2 linked regions of the Stegostoma tigrinum genome follow. The protein of the gene in region 2 interacts with the protein of the main gene of each other region in a pairwise test. Links are inferred from orthologs where the notes say so. Each region holds a gene or a part of one and is shown on either strand. Other genes may lie near its edges.

What was found.
Region 1: the proteins of dapp1 (region 2) and fxn interact in binary tests that used the Homo sapiens proteins (3 or more experiments, as listed by UniProt). The link is inferred for Stegostoma tigrinum from reciprocal best matches to the Homo sapiens genes DAPP1 and FXN.

The regions. Positions count from the first base shown.
Region 1 is NC_081356.1:27,895,437-27,907,103, forward strand, and holds the start of fxn (frataxin, mitochondrial), read left to right. Parts: upstream 1-5,155; 5' UTR 5,156-5,269; coding exon 5,270-5,392; intron 5,393-11,525; exon of another isoform or gene 11,526-11,631; coding exon of another isoform or gene 11,632-11,667.
Region 2 is NC_081354.1:4,223,169-4,234,835, forward strand, and holds the start of dapp1 (dual adapter for phosphotyrosine and 3-phosphotyrosine and 3-phosphoinositide), read right to left. Parts: upstream 7,700-11,667; 5' UTR 7,534-7,699; coding exon 7,460-7,533; intron 1-7,459. UniProt on the Homo sapiens protein: May act as a B-cell-associated adapter that regulates B-cell antigen receptor (BCR)-signaling downstream of PI3K.

The sequences.
Region 1 (11,667 bases), on a different chromosome or scaffold from region 2:
TCCCTCTCTGTCCACGACACTGCACACTGTTCAGAGATGGAGGAGATTTTTTCAGGATAGCAACAACTATCCTCCCATGCCAAACAACATTTAGAAGTGACTGCAAAAGTTCTTGATATTCGTCACTGTTGTTGTACAGTGTTCATCATCTTCCAGAATGCATTGAATGCCAACACAATGATATTTTAAGCTGACAGTTTGAAATGGATAAGTGAAATTGTTATATTAGAGTTGGATCCTTCCAGAATTGCTGCATTTCAACAATATTGTATCAGGAAGCTCATTTATTGAATTGAAGAACAAGACATCTCATCTATTCAGCTTGTGATCTTTACCATGAAACCAGTGCCTCTTCAGAAAAATTGTAAAGAAAATGGATCACTATGCAGACTGTGATTCAAACCTGGAAGCTTAAACAAAAGCTAACTACACTGTCATTATGTAGTATTTGTATTCAATTACGTTAAGTAATTTATCGTAAATGAATATTTTTATATTAATATTGAATGGTCCTTCTAATAACGGAACCATAAGCAGCTTCTGACCTGTACAAACTGCATATTAGTTAGAGAGTCATTAAAATTCCTCCATTGGTGGTTTTCTGCCAAGTAGATTTTTTAAAAAGTGTGTTTTACATTGATAGTAGGAAGAGAAGCATATTTGTGCTGGACTTTTCCAGCTAGCTGTAGGTTCACTTCAGACACCACTCACTGTATTTGAGATAAGAGTGTTCCAAAAATGGGATCCAAAATGATTTATTACAATCTTTAATGCAGCTACTTTGCCTTACAAAATTTCTTCTTTTTAATCTAGTAAACCACATGAAGAATGAATTGAACATCTGGCAGGAGAGGAATAATGTAAATCCAAGCTGACCATTCTTTTACTTAGAAAAGAAGGATACTTCATAAACTCCGACTCATGAAGAATTCAGATGGAAATCTTGTTTGGTGAACAAGATTGCATGACCTCCGGCACATGCCATAGACTTTCGTGAACAGACATTTAATGGCACAGGATTCACAAGGAACATTTCATACCTAAGCATTAAGTCTGTATTGCTGCTATATGAATGCAGTTTTATTCCCCGTTTTTGTGATCTCACCTGGCCAACTGAAGAGAGTTTGTCATTTCTACTGGTTCTGAAATTCTACCAGATTTATATTTTGTTACTTCAATAGTTTGCATACATTTCAGTGTCTGGCGGTACAAAAAATGTTTTTTTTCTCAGATGCCAAAAACATTTATGCCTAAAGCGTAACTGTTAACTCTTCTATTTTGCTGAATTTCCAAGAAGCAGTCTTTTAATCAGCCTCTGGATAAAATTGCCTACTTTGTACTTACATTGAATTGCAATGTTTGCACATTGACTACATTAACAGTTACGCTAGAATCCCTAGTTTTGCTTACCTGTCAGTTGAAACAGAAAAATGTTTACAGAAATGTGTGTACTTCATCTCAATATCTATTTTAAAAGAAAATGACAAAAGGTCTATTTTAATGAAGTCTTTTGGGGTGGTCTTAAAAGTCGCTGTAAATATCTTTAAAATTGTGAAGGAGTTTGCTTGAGAAATGCTTCCTATAACTTAATGTCCACTTAATGAAGTATTGTACAGAATTATTTGACAAAACTATCTTCCAAATTGTATAGTATAAACACATGAATGGCCTGCTAAAATTTATGCTGCATATTATGTATGTAGGTGGTATAGGACTTGTGTTTTGCTGCCATTCTGAAGTAGAATCACGTTTTTAAAAAATCATTCAGATTATTTAAATGTTACACATTATTGAGCCTTTACGTTTATTTAAATTATGTCTTGCTGTAACTTCTCTATAATGAGACAATATATGAAAAGGGGAAATGTTTGGCATCCCCCAGTGGACATTGTTCAGCACTACAGCATCCTGAATTTTGGTTTTGTTGATCAGTTCTGAATCAAATAGAAAGCACTTGGAAAGAAATGACCAGCAAAGAATTAATAAAAGCAAGTTGAACATAATTCTAGAAAATTATTGGCTGACTTTCAACCTGTGGCGTACACCTTATTGATATGTCAATTTGGCACTTACCTTTCGCCCACTTTTTAAAAATTGATTTTCAGGGGATGCTGGCTTCACTGGCAGGGTCAGCATTTTTTGCCCACCTCTATCACCTTCTCAAGGATAACTGAAGAGCTGCTATCCTAAACTGCTGCAGAACATTTTGATGTAGGTAGACCCACAACGTTTTTAGGGAGGGAATTCTGGAATTGTGACCCAGCAACACTTCAGAAGTGGCAATTTGTATCAGAATAGTATGCAGATTGGAAAGAGAACTCTCAGGTGGTGGTGTTTCCATGTATCTGGGGTGACCTTTCTTTTGGAAGGTGCTGTTTAAGGAACCTCACTGCTACTGAGCATTGGTGATGGAGAGAATGAGTGCTTGTTTTATTCTGGGTGATACTGAGCTTCTTTGGTGTTGATATTGGAACTGCACTCATCCAGGTAAGTGAAGAGTATTCCATCAGACTTCTGACATGTGCCTGCAGATGTCAGTAAGAAGTGAGTAACTTGCTGCAGATTCCTAGCCTCTGAGTGTTCATGTAACTTATTTATTTGGCTAGTCCAGTTCACTGTGGAGTCATGATGTCTGAGAGCCGATACCGTACTCAGTGCCAAGAAGAATCCAGTACACTGGAGTTTAGAGGCTTGTTAGATGACTGCCCTCTGACCTTTGCTCATGTAAAATAAGGCTTGACAAAATAAGGTCAAAAAAGATCCTATTCGGTCATTACTGCCCAATTGCTTTTTTCTTATTGTTGCTCAATTAGTTTGATTCTCACTTTTTATAATCACGGCTGTTTTTGAGCCAGTTGAATAGGTTACTGTAGCAGCTCTACACTGCTACAGATTCTTTGACTGAGGAAGGGTCATCGGACCCGAAATGTTAACTCTGATTATTTTCTTCACAGATGTTGCCAGACCTGAGCTTTTCTAGTAACTTCCACTTCTGTTCATAATTTCCAATGCCTCCATTTCCTTGTTTTAACCAGCAGTCTGGAGGCGTCTATAGTTCTGTAAATGGGGTCTAATTCAGTTTGTACAATAGTCAAACAAAGCTTCTCTGGTTTTTGATTATATTTCTCCAGAAATGAAATCAAATGCCTTGTTTTTGTATTATAAGTGTATTATTTATCCTTGTTATCCTGTTACTACAATGTCCTGTAGAGTGCTTCAGAAGCCCATTATGTATCAACCACAGTGATATAGAACTGAAGTCACCTATAGACCAGGCAGATTTCCATCCCAGTAAACAGGTTGCCCTTATGCCAATGAGTTTCACCTTCACTGCTACTGGTATTGGCCTACTGTTTTCAAATTTCTTTAAATTGTATTTCAGACTTTTGAGTGTGATGATGGGGTCTGAATCCATGTTCTTTGGGTTACAGAGCTGGGCTTCTGGATTACTAGTTCAGCAACAGTTCTGGGCATCCCTGCAGAATTTCCTTTCAATGTGTGCTTTTGTTAAAACAAGATATTGCATAATATCTCAGAAATAAGGGGAACAGCATGTGTGCTGAATTCCTGGTACTGAACTGTACTCAACAGAACATCCCCACCCTATAACAACCTGGGTGGACTGCAGATCTTCAGGACTTGAATTTAATATTTGTTATCACACTCCTCCAGATGCAGGGTTAACCACCCTAAACTTAATTATCCTGGTCACAAGCTTGATTGCTTACTTGTTTCATCACTTGATAGGCCATCTCAAAGAAGCAGATTGATCATGTCTTTGTTTTAAACACAATCTCTATATCCTTCTTTAGGAAATATGACAAGTGCAGTACTCGCTCAACTGACTTTCAGGGATACTTAGTGTCATAATTTATAAGAGTGACTGAGGAAAACTCTGAATTGGTTTGCAATTCATGCAAATTTATACGACACTCAACCAGTATCACTGAAATGTTCATGATAAGTAATAGACAACAAATTCAAATGTTTAATTTAAAGAGTTCAGATTACTTTCTGAAAGCATCCATTGTCTACATTTTAAATCAAAATTTCACTAATTCATTATAAACCTTATATCTGTCGCCTATCTTCAACTAAATCATCCTCCTTTAATCCTTCCTAAAGTGTAATGAGTGATCTGGTACTGACGTTCAATTATTTACATGCTTCAAATAACAACGTGGTAACTGGGTTCTGAGGTTATAGGTCAGTTCTAACGTCAAGCGAGCTATCTAGAGGATACAAAAATGCTTGCTCTGTTTAGGATCTGCCTTATATTATTTTCTGTTTTTAAAAAAAAATCTTGAGGGCACGATTTGAAGAAAAGTCTTCTTTGTGTCCTCAGACAGCATTACAAGAAGTCGATCTAGTCACTGTCTTTTGCCGACGCTTCTTGTGTTTGTTACGTTCCCATCACAGCCAACTAAGTAGGAATGGGTCATTCATCCTTTCAAGACTGATCTAGCTGTGATCTTAACCTCCTTATCCTGTCAATCAAGAATCTATTCAACACTCTCTTGAAATAGTCAGTAATCCACCCTCTACTGGAATTTCCTTTTCGAGGAGAACAAAGACTTACAACCTTCTAAAAGTAGAAAAGAAATCATTGTAAAAACAAAACTTTATTCTGGAAAGGACAGACGTTATTTCTCGTTTCCCACAGAATGGGTGGGAGAGAGACAGCATAATCCTCCCAGTATCCACCCTTCCGATCTGCTCAAGATTAATGACCTTGGACATCGCGAGAGATTTTGGGATGTCCAGATGTTGTGGAAGGTGCCACATAAATGCAATCTGTCGGTACGAAATAAAAACCCGAAAGAATTGCGGATGGCGTTTGTCAGACCCAAAAATAAAAGCTTTTTCCAGCAGCTTCTGTTTTTGTCGGTACATAATCATGAATTAGTTTCTTAAAAGCAGAATTCTGGGGGAACGAGAAACACTCGGATTTTCTCTACCTTCCTAGCCTGGTAAAATTTCTGAAATCAGTCCACCTACCCAACCTGACCGGCTCCACACTTCCAGGTTTGGACCTCGAATTTCTTTGGGGGCGGACCATGTCCACCCAAGCCCCGCCCCCTGTGTTGGTGATGCAACCACGTCCCTATTCAATTCCCGCCCATTCAGTTTACGGTGGCGTAGGCCCGCCTCCATTGTGTCATATCGCCCTGCGTGCACGCACAATCCTTGCTACTGGCTCCTCACAAAAGGGACTGTGAGTCGAGGGCCGATGTGATCGTTGGTCTTCACACGCCACCCCCGGTGGCAAATGGCGGGTTTTCTAAACCGGGGCTTACGCCCCTCAATCCTCAGGTTTACAAGGCACCTTACAGCAACGACAGTCCCCGAAATTCATCACGTAACCATCCCCTCACTCAACACTTTATCCGCGGTGAGTAACAGCAGTGAAGGTCCTTAATTGGATGTATGCGTGTAGCACATTACTGACATTTATTTAAAGTCAGTTTGAGGCCGGGACCTCCGCGCGCCCCCACCCCCCCGCAAGTTCTCGCGCTGTGTTGCTATTGGTCTTTCCGGAGATCATGTGGTCTCCATCCTCGGAGGCTAGTCCATGCGACCTCAATTAAGGTTCCGCCCCTCTCCTCCCTGAGCGAAGCCGATTGGTTACTGCTCACATAGCGGCTCTCGCGGTGGAACGGCTTGACGACCTGAGGCCCGGCGTCATGGGCTGGAATCTGTGGCGATGAGTTCGTGTCAAATTCTGTTGTGTAACATAATACGGCGAGAGGCTGTTCGGCCCGTTGTGCTTGGACCAGCTGTTTACTAAGGCAACATTCAAATCACATTTTCTGAAGAAGGGTCTAGGCCTGAAACGTCAGTTTTCCTGCGCCTCTGACGCTGCTTGGCCTGCTGGGTTCATCCAGCTCTACACCTTGTTGTCTCACATAGCCCTCCCTGTACCTTCCATTGTACCTGCAGATAGAGATTCTGAAAACGTATGCTGGTGCATTCCAGATCCGAAACACTCGCCGCATGAAAAACGTCCTGCGGTACTTTTTGTCGATTAGCTTTAATCTCTATCTTCTGATTCTGGATCCTTACACCAACAGGAGCCTTTTTGCCCCTATCCACTTTCATCAAGCTCTTCGAGGTTTTGAGACTCCTCTGGCAGGTCTCCTCGTGGCCGCCTCTTGATTGATGAAAATTGTTCTCGTGGCTACACATTGTCCTGCATCATAAGTCCACCGAAACAAGTACAGTCATAATGCACGGAAACAGACCCTTCGAACCAACTCGTCCGTGCCCACCAGATAGCTGGTATAAATCCAGTCTCGTTTATCAGCATTTAGCCAATATCCCTGTAAATCCTTCCTATTCATGTACTCATCCAGATGGCTTTTAAATGTTGTAGTTGTACTAGCCTTCACCATTTCCTCCAGCACCTCATTCCGTGCAGGCATCACCCTCTGTGTGAATAAGTTGCCCCTTAGGTCCCTTTTAAATCTTTCCACTCTAACCTTAAACCTATGCCCAATGGTTTTGGCTATCCCATCCCGGGAAAATGACATTGTTTATTTTCCCTATCCATCCCCCTCATGATTTCATAAATCTCTGTGAGGTCACCCCTCAATAGTGAAAGCAAAAAAAGAACCCATTACATGGGCCAAATGGCTAATCCATGTGCTGTATGACTCTTTTAAAAATAAGTTAGGATTCCGTATCATTTGTTTTTAAGCAGCCTATGTAGGTGTTAATGAAAAATTCTGTAATGCCAATGTGGTGTATAAATGTTTTACAGCCAATGCAGCACTTTGCTGAGGGTCGTGGAAACAGATGCACAGAGCAAATTCTCATGAGCAGCCATGAGATAGATGATCAAATAATTGTTTTAGTGATGTTTATTGAAGGATGAATATTGACCATAATGCTGATGATAACTTTCATGTCCTTCAATAGACTGACCATGATCTTTCACCTAAGATGCAGACAAGTCACAGTTTAATATAATAAAATGTGAGGCTGGATGAACACAGCAGGCCAAGCAGCATCTCAGGAGCACAAAAGCTGATGTTTCGGGCCAAGACCCTTCATCAGAGAGGTGGATGGGGTGAGGGTTCTGGAATAAATAGGGAGGGAGGGGGAGGCGGACCAAAGCTGGAGAGAAAAGAAGATAGGTGGAGAGCGTATAGGTAGGGAGGGGATAGGTCAGTCCGGGGAAGACGGACAGGTCAAGGAGGTGGGATGAGGTTAGTACGTAGATGGGGGTGTGGCTTGGGGTGGGAGGAAGGGATGGGTGAGAGGAAGAACAGGTTAGGGAGGCAGAGACAGGTTGGGCTGGTTTTGGGATGCAGTGGGTGGGGGGAAAGAGCTGGGCTGGTTGTGTGGTGCAGTGGGGGGAGGGGACGAACTGGGCTGGTTTAGGGATGCGGTGGGGGAAGTGGAGATTTTGAAACTGGTGAAGTCCACATTGATACCATTAGGCTGCAGGGTTCCCAGGCGGAATATGAGTTGCTGTTCCTGCAACCTTCGGGTGGCATCATTGTGGCACTGCAGGAGGCCCATGATGGACATGTCATCTAAAGAATGGGAGGGGGAGTGGAAATGGTTTGTGACTGGGAGGTGCAGTTGTTTGCTGCGAACTGAGCGGAGGTGTTCTGCAAAGCGGTCCCCAAGCCTCCGCTTGGTTTCCCAAATGTAGAGGAAGCCACACCGGGTACAGTGGATGCAGTATACCACATTGGCAGATGTGCAGGTGAACCTCTGCTTAATGTGGAATGTCATCTTGGGGCCTGGGATAGGGGTGAGGGAGGAGGTGTGGGGGCAAGTGTAGCATTTCCTGCGGTTGTAGGGGAAGGTGCCGGGTGTGGTGGGGTTGGAGGGCAGTGTGGGCGAACAAGGGAGTCACGGAAAGAGTGGTCTCTCCGGAAAACAGACAGGGGTGGGGATGGAAAAATGTCTTGGGTGGTGGGGTCGGATTGTAGATGGCGGAAGTGTCGGAGGATGATGCATTGTATCCGGAGGTTGATGGGGTGGTGTGTGAGAACGAGGGGGATCCTCTTTGGGCGGTTGTGGCGGGGGTGGGGTGTGAGGGATGTGTTGCGGGAAATACGGGAGACACGGTCAAGGGCGTTCTCGATCACTGTGGGGGGAAAGTTGCGGTCCTTGAAGAACTTGGACATCTGGGATGTGCGGGAGTGGAATGTCTTATCGTGGGAGCAGATGCGGTGGAGGCGGAGGAATTGGGAATAGGGGATGGAATTTTTGCAGGAGGGTGGGTGGGAGGAGGTGTATTCTAGGTAGCTGTGGGAGTCGGTGGGCTTGAAATGGACATCAGTCACAAGCTGGTTGCCTGAGATGGAGACTGAGAGGTCCAGGAAGGTGAGGGATGTGCTGGAGATGGCCCAGGTGAACTGAAGGTTGGGGTGGAAGGTGTTGGTGAAGTGGATGAACTGTTGGAGCTCCTCTGGGGAGCAAGAGGCGGCGCCGATACAGTCATCAATGTACCGGAGGAAGAGGTGGGGTTTGGGGCCTGTGTAGGTGCGGAAGAGGGACTGTTCCACGTAATCTACAAAGAGGCAGGCATAGCTGGGGCCCATGCGGGTGCCCATGGCCACCCCCTTAGTCTGTAGGAAGTGGGAGGAGTCAAAAGAGAAGTTGTTGAGGGTGAGGACGAGTTCAGTACACCACCCATGCCCTCCACCTCCTCCAGGACTTCCAATTCCCTGGACCCCAACACCTCATCTTCACCATGGACGTCCAGTCCCTATACACCTGCATTCCGCATGCAGATGGCCTCAAGGCCCTCCGCTTCTTCCTGTCCCGCTGGCCCGACCAGTTCCCCTCCACCGACACCCTCATCCCGCCTAGCCGAACCCGTCCTCACCCTCAACAACTCTTTTGACTCCTCCCACTTCCTACAGACTAAGGGGGTGGCCATGGGCACCCGCATGGGCCCCAGCTATGCCTGCCTCTTTGTAGGTTACTTGGAACAGTCAGTCTTCCGCACCTACACAGGCCCCAAACCCCACCTCTTCCTCCGGTACATTGATGACTGTATCGGCGCCGCCTCTTGCTCCCCACAGGAGCTCCAACGGTTCATCCACTTCACCAACAATTTCCATCCAAACCTTCAGTTCACCTGGGCCATCTCCAGCACATCCCTCACCTTCCTGGACCTCTCAGTCTCCATCTCAGGCAACCAGCTTGTAACTGATGTCCATTTCAAGCCCACCGACTCCCACAGCTACCTAGAATACACCTCCTCCCACCCACCCTCCTGCAAAAATTTCATCCCCTATTCCCAATTCCTCCGCCTCCGCCACATCTGCTCCCAAGATAAGACATTCCACTCCCGCACATCCCAGATGTCCAAGTTCTTCAAGGACCGCAACTTTCCCCCCACAGTGATCGAGAACGCCCTTGACCGCGTCTCCCATATTTCCCGCAACGCATCCCTCACACCCCGCCCCCGCCACAGCCGCCCAAAGAGGATCCCCCTCGTTCTCACACACCACCCCACCAACCTCCGGATACAATGCATCATCCTCCGACACTTCCGCCATCTACAATCCGACCCCACCACCCAAGACATTTTTCCATCCCCACCCCTGTCTGCTTTCCGGAGAGACCACTCACTCCGTGACTCCCTTGTTCGCTCCACACTGCCCTCCAACCCCACCACACCCGGCACCTTCCCCTACAACCGCAGGAAATGCTACACTTGCCCCCACACCTCCTCCCTCACCCCTATCCCAGGCCCCAAGATGACATTCCACATTAAGCAGAGGTTCACCTGCACATCTGCCAATGTGGTATACTGCATCCACTGTACCCAGCGTGGCTTCCTCTACATTTGGGAAACCAAGCGGAGGCTTGGGGACCGCTTTGCAGAACACCTCCGCTCAGTTCTCAACAAACAACTGCACCTCCCAGTCGCAAACCATTTCCACTCCCCCTCCCATTCTTTAGATGACATGTCCATCATGGGCCTCCTGCAGTGCCACAATGATGCCACCCGAAGGTTGCAGGAACAGCAACTCATATTCCGCCTGGGAGCTCTGCAGCCTAGTGGTATCAATGTGGACTTCACCAGTTTCAAAATCTCCCCTTCCCCCGCCGCATCCCTAAACCAGCCCAGTTCGTCCCCTCCCCCCACTGCACCACACAACCAGCCCAGCTCTTCCCCCCCCCCACCCACTGCATCCCAAAACCAGTCCAACCTGTCTCTGCCTCCCTAACCGGTTCTTCCTCTCACCCATCCCTTCCTCCCACCCCAAGCCGCACCTTCATCTCCTACCTACTAACCTCATCCCACCTCCTTGACCTGTCCGTCTTCCCTGGACTGACCAATCCCCTCCCTACCTCTCCACCTATACTCTCTCCACCTATCTTCTTTTCTCTCCATCTTAGGTCAGCCTTACCTTCTCTCTCTATTTATTCCAGAACCCTCACCCCATCCCCCTCTCTGATGAAGGGTCTAGGCCCGAAACATCAGCTTTTGTGCTCCTGAGATGCTGCTTGGCCTGCTGTGTTCATCCAGCCTCAAATTTTATTATCTTGGATTCTCCAGCATCTGCAGTTCCCATTATCTCTGACACTGTTTAATATCTTGGTCGAAGGATAGCACCTTTTTTATTCACTTTTGGTTTGTGGCTGCAGCTGGCAATACAGCATTTGTCAACCACCTTAATTTCTCTTGCGATCAACCACTTGAAATACCCTGATCCATTTAATGTTGAAACATCCAGAATGTTGTTAAGCAGTGAGTTCCAGGATTTTGACCCAGAGATGGAGAACGTATGGCAATATTGTTCCAAGTGAAGATGGTGTATGACTTTGAGAGGAACTTGCAGGCAATGGCATTCTATGCATCTATTACACTTATGTTTCAAGATGATACATGTTACAGGATTGAAAGGTCCTGTGAAAAGGAAGCTTGGAAAGTTACTGAAGTGTATTTTGTGTATTTTCTGCAGCCATTGTAAGCTGGCAATGGAGAGAGTTAAATGTTGGAGTTGATGGATACCGTATCACTCAAGCTGCTTTGTCCTGGTTGATGAGATAATGGGAACTGCAGATGCTGGAGAATTCCAAGATAATAAAATGTGAGGCTGGATGAACACAGCAGGCCAAGCAGCATCTCAGGAGCACAAAAGCTGACGTTTCGGGCCTAGACCCTCTCTGATGAAGGGTCTAGGCCCGAAACGTCAGCTTTTGTGCTCCTGAGATGCTGCTTGGCCTGCTGTGTTCATCCAGCCTCACATTTTATTATCTTGTCCTGGTTGATGCCAGGTTTCCGTGTATCATTGGAGCTGCATGGATGGAGTTACCTTAGAATTCTCAGCCTCTGACCCGCTCTTGTCACCACAGTACCTATATGGCTAGCTCACTGTAGCTTCTGGCCAATAGTAACACCCAGATGTTGCTAATGGAAGGCTCAGCGATTATGAGGTTATTTAATGTCTATGGAAGATGATGAGATTCTCTCCTGTTGGAGACAGCCATTGTCTGACATTTGTGTTGTGTGAATATTACATCCCACTTATCAGCCAAAACCCCACTGTTGTCCAGGTCTTGCTGGACTCTTCCAGGATTTGAAAAATTGCTAGTGGCTACGGACACTTTGCAGCAATCATCAGCAACCTTGCCATCTCTGAATGAAGGCATTTGATGAAGCAGCTTAAGACAGTTGGGCCGAGGCATTAT
Region 2 (11,667 bases):
TTCACGGAAGAAAATCTACAATTCTTTTCTATTCTAGCCCACACGACCCACTGCAACGGGATTGACCCTCAGCTGCCCTTTGAAATGGGAGAGCAAATCGCACGTTGCAAGGGCAAATGGAGTTGAGCAAGAAATGATGGCCTTGCTGGTGATGCCCATGAAACGCGAGATGAATAATTTTACACTTATTTGTACAAATGCTGTAGTTGCTTCATTGATACAAAGCTCTAGCTTCAACGTTAGAACTGCTGGGAACAGTTCCAAACTAACGAAGGTCAACGTAGGACTGATACAGTTCTTTTCACTGAGACCTCTTCATCCACATGAGCCAGCTGTAAACCGTACTTCAGCCATTACTTCCATAAATAGCACAGAGCTCTCCCCAGTCCACATGTCTAACACTGAATTGTTTAAATCAATATCAGTGCAAACAACAAGATGATGTGGTCATCGTGATAGTGCTGTTGTGGGATCTTACTGTGCAGTGATAGGCTGCCATCTTTCTCCACAATCACAACCGTGACAATGTATCATTACAGTTCCATTGGATATAAAGGCCTTCAGATGCTACACAAATGCAAAAATGCAACATCCAGACCAGAAAGCATCAGCTATTCCCTGTCACAGCCACTTTGCAACAGCAACTTCCATTGCTACATAAACTCACAGACTTGTTCTAACTGAGATAACAAGGTGCCGAGTTGGATGAACACAGCAGGCCAAGCAGCAGAGGAGCAGGAAGGCTGACGTTTCAGGCCTAGGCCCACTTGCTATAACTATTGTGTTGTCCAGTTTATTGCAATCCTAGTTACAAAGGCAGTGGAGGCTGATTGTTTTTAAAACCTGGTTTGCACAGAAATGATTTGTCTCTGTGCTCAGTGCGAGAAATTTTAATCGAAACACCTTCCAGGAAGGCCGTGTGATTTGAACTCTTACTTGTTGGTACTGTTTCCAAGTGTGTCCGTGTGGCAGTTGTCCCTGTCACAGTGTGAATTGCAAACGTACTGAATTGCAATATCCACCTACATCTATTCACATGGTGTGTGGTTCTTGAAGCTATCAATTACCTTCAGGGAATTTTATAGTTGAGCCATAACACAATAGCGTGTCAAGTCAGATCTTCCTGCTTACTACTGAATTAAAGAAAGTCTTTGCAAGGATTAGGACTACGATACTGACATTAAAGCCATTCTTTTTCCTCTGTTGCTCTCAGCTGATTGATGATACAGATTTGCAAGTATGATACCAGAACAAACAGGAGCAACTCTGAGTAAAGACTAAACAACCTCGGTTTCTCTAATAAATTGCATCTGAGGAAAACTGCTGGAAGTAATTAAAAATGAGGAGGGTCTGATTTGTTCTTTGGACATGGGCATCTCTGGTCGGGCCAATGTTTATTGCCCATCCCTAATTGCCTTGGAGACAATGGTGAGCGAGCTTTCTCCACAGATGGCTGCAGTCCTAGTTTTTAAAGATCACTCACAGGAAGTTCCCGCATGTTGACTGATGGAGAGTCTAAAACCAGGGGCCATAAATATGCAATAGTCACTAATAAATACAACAGGGAGTTTGGAACACAGCTGGAAAATGGTGAGAACATGAAATTGTTACAACAGCATTATTGAGGGGAATAATATTTATAAGTCTAATGGAGAAGCCGAATAAACTCATGTAGGAGAAAGAAATAGATGGGTATGCTGATAGGGAGAGATGAAATATGATTGGAGGAGGGTTGAGCAGAGTATAAATAATTTGGCTGAATGGCCTGTTTCTCTGCTATAAATCCTAAATCATTCTATTTGCTAACTGAAATCTGCTTCTTAGCTCATCCACATTGTACAATGTCATTTATAACTCCAAATGCTGTCTGTTGCAGAAATTTGTAAATTTCTTTCTTAAAACTTCCCTCAACCACATATATCCTGTTCAAACACCTAGACTGTCCTACATCAGTCACCTTTCTGTTCAAATATATTGTTTAAATGGCTTATATAGGGGACAGCTCAGATATTATGGGCTGCAGGATTCTGCACAGCAGGAGGCTTGTGATTCCAAATTCTATCTAAATTGCCAGCTCAAATTTTCTTCAGTACAACATGTGCCCTCTGGCTATCCAATTTTGTGAGGGTCCCTTCCAGAGTGTACACTAATCAGACTTGTGTTTCTTTAACATTCAACACCTCAAAACAAACAATGTTCCCTAGCATCAAAGGATGTAATCAAACTTTGGTTATGTGAATATTGTGCAACCTATTGCACAGAATAGGTCACTCGGCCCAACTCATCTGTGCTGGCCTCTATGTTCTGTATTATTCACTCTTTATCCCAGCTCATCTCATCCTGTCAATATAGCCTTCTGTTCCTTCCTCCCTTGTGTTCATCTAGGTTTGACTCAAGTGCAACTGTAGACTTTGATGATTCAAGTGCTGTGAGTTCTACTTTCTGTGTAAAGACATATCTCCTGATGTTCCTATTGGATTTATTAGTCACTATCTTAAATGACGACCCTTAATTTTGAGCTTCCCACCAAGTGAAAATATCTTCTCTGTAACTAGCCTAATGACCCTTTGTGGAATCGTAAAGATCTCAATCAGGTCAATTCTTATAATTTTTTCTGTTTGAATTAATCTTACTTGGATCTTCCCAACTGTTAATTTTCTGAGCTCCCCATGCTAGGCGCAGATTAGGCCAGCACTGCTATTTCTGTGAATGAACTAAATAATGCAAAGCAGTTGGTTTGGTTTTTTCTGCCTTTATTACTCATCAGTGTTTATTATGTGTAAATTGGCTGTTAGCATGCTTCAAAAGCACCCAACTGTCTAAAACAGTTTGGGGATTTTCTGAAATAACAAAGTGTGGAGCTGGATGAACACAGCAGGCCAGGCAGCATCTCATCTGCAGCTCCCATTATCTTTGGGGATTTTCTGAAGTTGTGAAAGGTATCACTTAAGAGCAAGATCTTTCTTTCAGGTATTTCCCAACTTCTACTTCTTATAAAAACCTCTGGATATTCATCATACGTAGGTATTTTCCAAAAACCAAAAGTACTGGAGAAACTCAGCATGTCTGGCAACATCTGTGGAGAAGGAAACAGAGCTAATGATTCAAGTCCTGTGGCTCTCCTTCAAAACTTAACTACTGGACTCGAAATATTAACTCTGTTTCTCTCTCCACAGATGCTGCCAGACCTGCAGAGTTTCTCCAGGATTCTCCGTGTTCTTTCCGATTTCGAACATGCATAGTATTTTGCTTTTATTATTTTTATTTTATCACTTCCATTTCTTCCTTAAGCCTCTGTGAAGTTCTTCAGATTTTTCTGTTTAACAGTTCTATGCATATGTAAGTTGTCCTGATGTCATCAACCAAATTCACTCACTTATCAAAAAACCTAAATAACATGGGACTTTGGGATTTATGCCACTCAGAGCGCTCTGGGACTTCTCAAAACAAACAAGATCAGAAATTTCGGAGAAACCCGGCAGTCTGGCAGTGTGTGTGAAGGGAGAGACAGATTGGTACGGCTCAAAAATTACTGAAGGAGAGTCATACCAGACTCAAAATGTTAACTCTGTTTCTAACATTGCCAGACCTGCTGAGTTTCTCCAACACTGTGTTTACCAGCTTCCACAGTATTTAGCTTTTATTTGCAGGAATATTCAATTCCTTCCTGGATACTTTCAGGGATGTGGAACACTGTTTTCTGATTTTAAAAATGACTAGCATCACTCAAGCTCAGACATCCACAGGCACTTTAAAAGGAAATTACGTACCTTTGAAGACATCCCTGTTATAATGCAGGCAACACAGCTCACAATTTGTGCAAAACGAGCTCCCAGGCCGATAATAGAACAGTGACCAAGATAACGGCATATTTTAGTTATTGGCTGCGGGGTAAAACTGGTTACCAGGAGAATTACCCTGCTCTTCTTGGACCTTCTGTGCCCATTGTAGGGGGCAAACAAGGACTTGGTTCATCATATCATCGGCAAGCTGGCACTGTTGACAGTGCAGCACCCCCCGAACACTGCAGTGGGAGATGTCAACATTGTTACTGTGCTTGGATTTTTTTGGAGTCGGACTTGAAATCCCATTCCGAATCGGAAGCGACAGTGCTACCTATTGAGCCACATCACCCTTTCCAAGGCTGTGACTATGCTCCAGCCGCAGCTTCACACCAACTTCATTACAAACCAGGAGTTAATCTGATCTGTGTAGCACAATGAGAACCTGTCTCACTTCACTATGGGTTCAAACTGTACCTACATTGGATCAAAGCCAATCCATCAGGGATACAAGACTTCCCAGCACATGCCTGGAGAATTTTGGTGACCACATTTTCATCCTAAATCTTGAACTTCAGAAGATTGTGGATGCTGGAAATCGACAACTTGGAATGTCAACTGTTCCCTTCGCCACAAATGGTGACTGACCTGCTGAGTGTTTCCACCAATCTCTGTTCATTAACATGTTTAATTTCATGTCCTGATAAGTGAAATTGGTTTAATGAATAAGTACATTAAACATGTGGGTATCCTGTGATGTGACTGTCATCTGTGATTTGATTGAGACTCTACCAGAAGTTTGGAACAAGAGCAATTCTAGGCAGAAATGTCTGCTGCTAGATCACCAGTTTGTTAATAAATATTGTTGATGTCCGACCCAAACAAGTCTGAATACACTGTAAGACCATAAGAAGTAGGAACAGGATTTGGCCATTTGGTCCCTTGAGCCTGCTGTACCATTAATTGGATCGTGACTGATCCAACATTCCTCACACCTATTTTCCTGCCCTTTCCCTGTAGCTGATCAAGAATCTATTGATCTCAGCCTTAAATAGACACAACGACTCTGCCCCCACTGCTGTCTGTGGCAAGGAGTTCCAAAGACTCACAACCCTCTGAGAAAAGAAATTCCTCTTCATCTCAGTCTTAAATTGGTGCCCCTTTATTCTGAGACTGTGCCCTCTGGTCCTAGACTCTCCCATGACGTGAAACGTCATCTCAGCATTAACCCTGTCCAGCTCCTTAAGAATCTGATATATTACTAAAATGCTGTTTGATAAGATTTCTGTCAATTTCCCTTCATTGTGTCAGTCAGTACCTACACAGAGGTTCTTTTTACAAACACTGCTTTCTCATCATCGTTCCACTCATTCCTCCTGTGTTACTTTTGTTGAGTGACTTGCTGTCACCTTATCTTTTCTTTAACAATTCTAGCTGAAACCAAAACCATTGTTTGCCCCTCATTTTCCATTCTGGGAAAGGGCCCAGCCTACTTTCTCGCCTCATGCGCTCTCTCTTCAGATTGACAAACCGGCTGATTGTTTCGAGTAGTTCCTGTTTTCAGTTTCAAACAACTGGAGGGTTGGTAACTAATCCTTGTAATCATAAAACAAACAAGAGGTAGACACAGTGGAGAAAGAAAGTTTGACTAGAATGATACCAGAATGGAGAGGTTCTCCTTCCATGGGAGGGAGTATACAGGGCTGACTGCCTTTCCTATGAGGGGTGTGTTTCTGACTGAGATTATTAATAGGTTTGATAGGGTAAAGTTAGAGACCAAGTCTCACGTGGGTGACACCAGAACAAGGGACTATTGATGTTAGATTAGATTTATCAATGACAATCAGGAATTCAGGCAAAACTTCTTTGCCCCCAGAGACTGGGGAGAATGTGGAACTTGATACCACGTGTGGTGGTTGAGGTAAACAGCGCAGTTATTATTTAAGAGGAAGCTGGATAAACACACAAGGGAGAAAGGAACAGAAGAAGAAGATACAGGATGAGCGAAACAACAAAGAGTGAGAGCAGAGATAGTACGAACTGCAAATGCTGGAGAATCTGAGATAACAAACTGTGGAGCTGGATGAATACAGCAGGCCAAGCAGCATTTCTGAAGAAGGGTCTAGGCCTGAAACATCAGCCTTCCTGCTCCTCTGATGCTACTTGGCCTGCTGTGTTCATCCAGCACTATGCCTTGTTATCAAAGAGTGAGAGCAGACTTGTCTGAAGCATAAACACCAATATGTTGGGCCAAATGGCCTGTTACTCTGCTGTACATTCCACTTAATAATTTGGAATCAACCAGATACACATATGTGCAGTTTTAACAAATATTACCTCAAAACAAATTATTTTGGGACAGGATTTTGAATTAACTCAAGAGGTGACACTCTCAACTGATACAATTGAATGAGTGTGTTTTCCCAGTTACAGAGGAATCACAGAGGGTCCAGCATTTCAGCAGTTTAACATCTGCGCTGTTTTCAATGGCAAAATAAAATGAACATTTTGAAGGAGAATTGGAGATAATTATCTGTACAATATAGAACAAGAACTGGAATCCATCATCAAAACTTTACAGCGTTCTTCTAATGCAGTGGTAGTGCCCCTACCTCTGAGCCAGGAGAAACCAAAAGTACTGCGGGTGCTGTGAATCAGGAACAAAAACAGAAATTGCTGGAAAAACTCGGCAGGGCTGGCAGCATCTGTGAGGAAAAAAATCAGAGTTAACGTTTCTGGACCAGGGACCCTTCCTGAAAACTGGGTTAACTCTTGATTTTTCTTCACAGATGCTGCCGGACCTGCTGAGTTTTTTTTTCCTGAGCCAGGAGACCCAGGTTCAAGTCCTACCTGCTCCAAAAATGTGTCACAGTATCTCTAAACAGGTAGATCAGAAAATAGAACAGAGAGCCCCTGCAGCAATGGATGCTTGGCGCCTATCACTGAGGTGTCGCTGTTACTAAGGAGGAAGCAATTAATTCATCTCAAAACAGAAATTCACTGAAGAGGAGTCATCAACGCTGTTTCCCTCTTCACGCAGACCTGCGGAGTTTCTCCAGCATTCTCTGCCCTTCTTCCAGATTTCCAGCATCTGCAGCGTTTGGCTTTCATCCACAGGTTATGTCTAATCCCCGAGAGTTTGTTTTTCCCTTAATGAAATTGACAATAAACCATCGGCAATTTGAATTATTCAGTCATTGGGGCACCCCGACTCGGGAAGGGGACGGGGGCGGGGTGCCCGTGATTTATTTTGGGAACGATGAGAGATCTTGCGCTTTAAACACAGCATCGCAGGCCTGAAAGTGACACGTTGGTAGATTGACAGAAATGACAGTAGTTCACTCTTCGGGAATTCTAATCGGTGGAGAGTCCCCTGTACAGAGCATGATGCCACACAGAGGGGTGTCCCAAAGGTTAATGGATAGCAAACTGAACAGGAAAGCTGATTACAGCTGTCTATTACAGATGAATTCATCGTTACTTTACAGAAGAAAGAGAAACTTTCCCGATTTCTCAAAAAGTTGACCAGAACATCCTGAAACTGACACACCAGCAGAAATTTTCAAGGAGAAAAAATACACTTAATTACAACATAGAACGTATCCTCCGCCTCCAACAGACAACAGTAATATAAGAAACACACAGATTTGTAATGCAGAAGGAAGCTCCAGACTCACTCGAGTTCGGACAGTCCATCCTCCTGCTCCTCGGCCCAGTCTCTGGATAGCTGCACATTCAGGGAACTGTCCATCTCCTTCAGGGAGAGCTCTGTCCCATCAGTCAGTCCCCCTTTCTCTCTATCTCTCTCTGCCCGAGACCTCCACAACCAAGCAGTACGCTCCTCACACAAACCCTCGCTGACTCTCCAAACAGAACAAATTAACAGGAACTTTCAAGCTGCTCCTCCCACCCCACCTCCTCTGATTGCGTTCTGCTGCACCCTGGGACCTGTAGTGAGGAATGCAGCTGATGAGGAAGTGTAACAGAGAAGGAAAAGGAAGCGAGTCACGCCTACACGGACCCTCATCAGCAGCTGTCCTTTCTCCCAGGCTGACCATTACCCACTCCTTCAACCAACTCTCTGGGCTCCATCTCTACTTATCCATTTACTCCTATACACCCCTGTCTCCATCCCATCTTCAGCACCTTTCCCCGGCTACACTCAGTTCTGAGGAAGGGTCACAGCACCCGAAACGTTAACCCTGTTTCTCTGCACAGACCTGCCGAGCTTTTCCAGCAATTTCTGTTTTGTGTTTCCGATTTACGGCGTCAGGAGGTTTCTGCTTTCTGAAAATTCTCATCCCGGTTTTCAAACCCCACCGTCGTCTCGATTCTATCCCTGTCACCCGCTTCCAGCCCTTACACCCCCTCCCAGTCTCTGCGCCCCCCCCCAGCCCTTACACCCCCTCCCTGTCTCTGCGCCCCCCCCCAGCCCTTACACTCCCTCCCTGTCTCTGTCACCCCCCTCCAGCCCTGACAACCCCACACTGTTTCTGTCACCCCCTCCCTATCTCTGTCACGTCCTCCAGCCCCTGCACCCCCTCCCTAACTCTCTCCCCTCCTTCAGCCCCGACACCCCCTCCTGATCTCTGTCACCCCTCCAGTCCTTACACCCCCTCCCAATCTGTCACCCCTTCCCGTCCCTACATCTCTGCCTCTCTCTCTTACACCTCCTCCAGCCCCTACACCCCCTCCCCAACTCTGCCTCTCTCTCTTACACCCCCTCCCGCCCCTACACCCCCTCCCCAACTCTGCCTCTCTCTCTTACACCCCCTCCCGCCCCTACACCCCCTTCTGCCCCCTCCCCATCTCTGCCCCCTCCTCATCTCTGCCCCCTCCTCCAGCGCCTACACCCCTCCCTATCTCTGTAACCTCCTCCAGCCTGTACACCCCCTCCCTATCTCTGTCACCTCCTCCAGCCCCTACACCCCCTCCCTATCTCTGTCACCTCCTCCACCCCCGTCACCCCCTCCACCCCATCTCTGTCACCCCCTCCACCCCCTCCACCCCCTCCCTGTCACCCCCTCCCTATCTGTCACCCCCTCCCTATCTGTCACCCCCTCCAGCTTCTACACCCTCTCCCTATCTCTGTCACCTCCTCCAGCCCCTACACCCCCTCTCTATCTCTGTCACCTCCTCCAGCCTCTACACCCTCTCCTTATCTCTGTCACCTCCTCCAGCCCCTACACCCCCTCCCTATCGCTGTCACCTCCTCCAGCCCCTACACCCCCTCCCTATCTGTCACCCCCTCCCTATCTGTCACCCCCTCCCTATCTGTCACCCCCTCCAGCTTCTACACCCTCTCCCTAACTCTGTCACCTCCTCCAGCCCATACACCCCCTCTCTATCTCTGTCACCTCCTCCAGCCCCTGTGCCCCTCTCTGTCTCTGTCACCTCCTCCAGCCCCCACCCCCTCCTTATCTCTGTCACCTCCTCCAGCCTCTACACCCTCTCCTTATCTCTGTCACCTCCTCCAGCCCCTACACCCCCTCCCTATCGCTGTCACCTCCTCCAGCCCCTACACCCCCTCCCTATCTGTCACCCCCTCCCTATCTGTCACCCCCTCCAGCTTCTACACCCTCTCCCTAACTCTGTCACCTCCTCCAGCCCATACACCCCCTCTCTATCTCTGTCACCTCCTCCAGCCCCTGTGCCCCTCTCTGCCTCTGTCACCTCCTCCAGCCCCTACACCCCCTCCCTATCTCTGTCACCTCCTCCAGCCCCTACACCCCTCCTTATCTCTGTCACCTCCTCCAGCCCCCAGCCACTCCCTATCTCTGTCACCACCTCCAGCCCCTACATCCCCTCCCTATCTCTGTCCTCCCCCAGCCCCTACACTCCTCCCTGTCTCTGTCACCTCCTCCAGCCCCAACCCCCTCCTTATCTCTGTCACCTCCTCCAGCCTCTACACCCTCTCCTTATCTCTGTCACCTCCTCCAACCCCTACACCCCCTCCCTATCTCTGTAACCTCCGCCAGCCCTTGCACTCCCTCCTTATCTCTGTCACCTTCTCCAGCCACTACACCCCCTCTCTATCTCTGTCACCCCCTCCAGCCCCCTACACCCCCTCCCTATCTCTATCACCACCTCCAGCCCCCTACACCCCCTCCCTATCTCTGTCACCCCCTCCATCCCCTACACCTCCTCCCTATCTCTATCACCCCCTCCAGCCCCTACACCCCCTCCCTATCTCTATCACCCCCTCCAGCCCCTACACCCCCTCCATATCTCTATCACCCCCTCCAGCCCCTACACCTCCTCCAGCCCCTACACCCCTCCTTATCTCTGTCACCTCCTCCAGCCCCCAGCCACTCCCTATCTCTGTCACCACCTCCAGCCCCTACATCCCCTCCCTATCTCTGTCCTCCCCCAGCCCCTACACCCCTCCCTGTCTCTGTCACCTCCTCCAGCCCCCACCCCGTCCTTATCTCTGTCACCCCCTCCAGCCCCTACACCCCATCCCTATCTCTGTCACCCCCTCCAGCCCCTACACCCCCTCCCTATCTCTGTCACCTCATACAACCTTCCAGATCTCTGCGCTATCCCATTTTGACCTTGAGGATATCCAGTGCTGCGCAATTGGAGGCTATTGTTTCAGCTTCCAAGTCCAGACTCTGGGATTCCCTCCCTGAAGCTCACCTATTCTTTGCGTCGATCTCATTTTCACCTCAATCTTTGATTAAGCTGTAGGCTGCCTGATGGAATATTGCTGAAATATGTGGTCAGCGTCTACCCTTGCTTTACAACCTCCCTGTGCAGAAACTTGTGGTGTTTTATTATGTCGAGGGTCAATGTAAATATAAGTTGTTATTGTTTCAACATGTACAAATATTGTCGTGGTGTCACTTAAAGCTCCTGCTGCAAAAGCTCAAAGAGAAATTGTGCGTCCATTAAATGAATTGTTTGGTGTATTTGAATTTGTTTTTCAGGAGTTTTTTTTTATTATTTAAAACATTTTGGATGTGAGAAAGGCTATTTCATCTTGGTGGATTGAAGCAGGTGCGACAGATCCCACAGGAATATAAACATACAGGAGTAGCCATTCAGTCTGTCAATCTGATTTCAACATTCAAGAAAAGCATTACTGAATGGACTGTAACTTCAACTCCACATTCCCAGTAAGGCCCTGATAATATTGTGTAATCATCAGCAAACATCCCTATTTCTGACCTTATGGTGGAGGGAGAGTCATTGAAGAAGCAGCAGAAGATGGTTGGGCCTAGGACACCACCCTGAGGAACTCCTGCAGAGATGTCCTAGAGCTGAGATGACTGACCCCAACAACCACGACCATTTTCCCATCTGTCAGGTCTGACTCCAACCATCGCAGAGATTTCCCATAGACTCCAGTTTTGTTAGGACTCTTCAATACCATACTCGGTCAAATGTGGCCTTGACGTCAAGATCTGTTCTTCTCTCCTCACCTCTGGAATTCTGTTCTTTTGTCCATGTTTGAACAAAGGCTGGAATGAGGTCAGGAGCTGAGTGGCCCTGGTGGAACCCAAACTGGGCATCACTGAGCAGGTTATTGCTGAGCAGGTGCTGCTTGATATCACTGTTACTGACACCTTCCATTGAGAATAGACCAATGGGGCAGTAATTGGCCAGGTTCTTTGTGCGTACAGGATGTACCTGGGAAATCTTTCATATTGTTGGACAGATACCAATGTTATTGCTGGAACATCCTGGCTAGGGATGTGGCATGTTCTGCAGCTCACATCCTCTCAACTATGGATGGAATGTTATCAGGGCTCATAGCTTTTGCAGTTTTCAGTGCCTCAAGCCATCTCTTGATATCACGTGGAGTGAATTAAAATGGATGAAGACTGGCATCTATCATGCTGGGGATCTCTGGAAGAGAATGAGATGGATCATCCACTCGGCA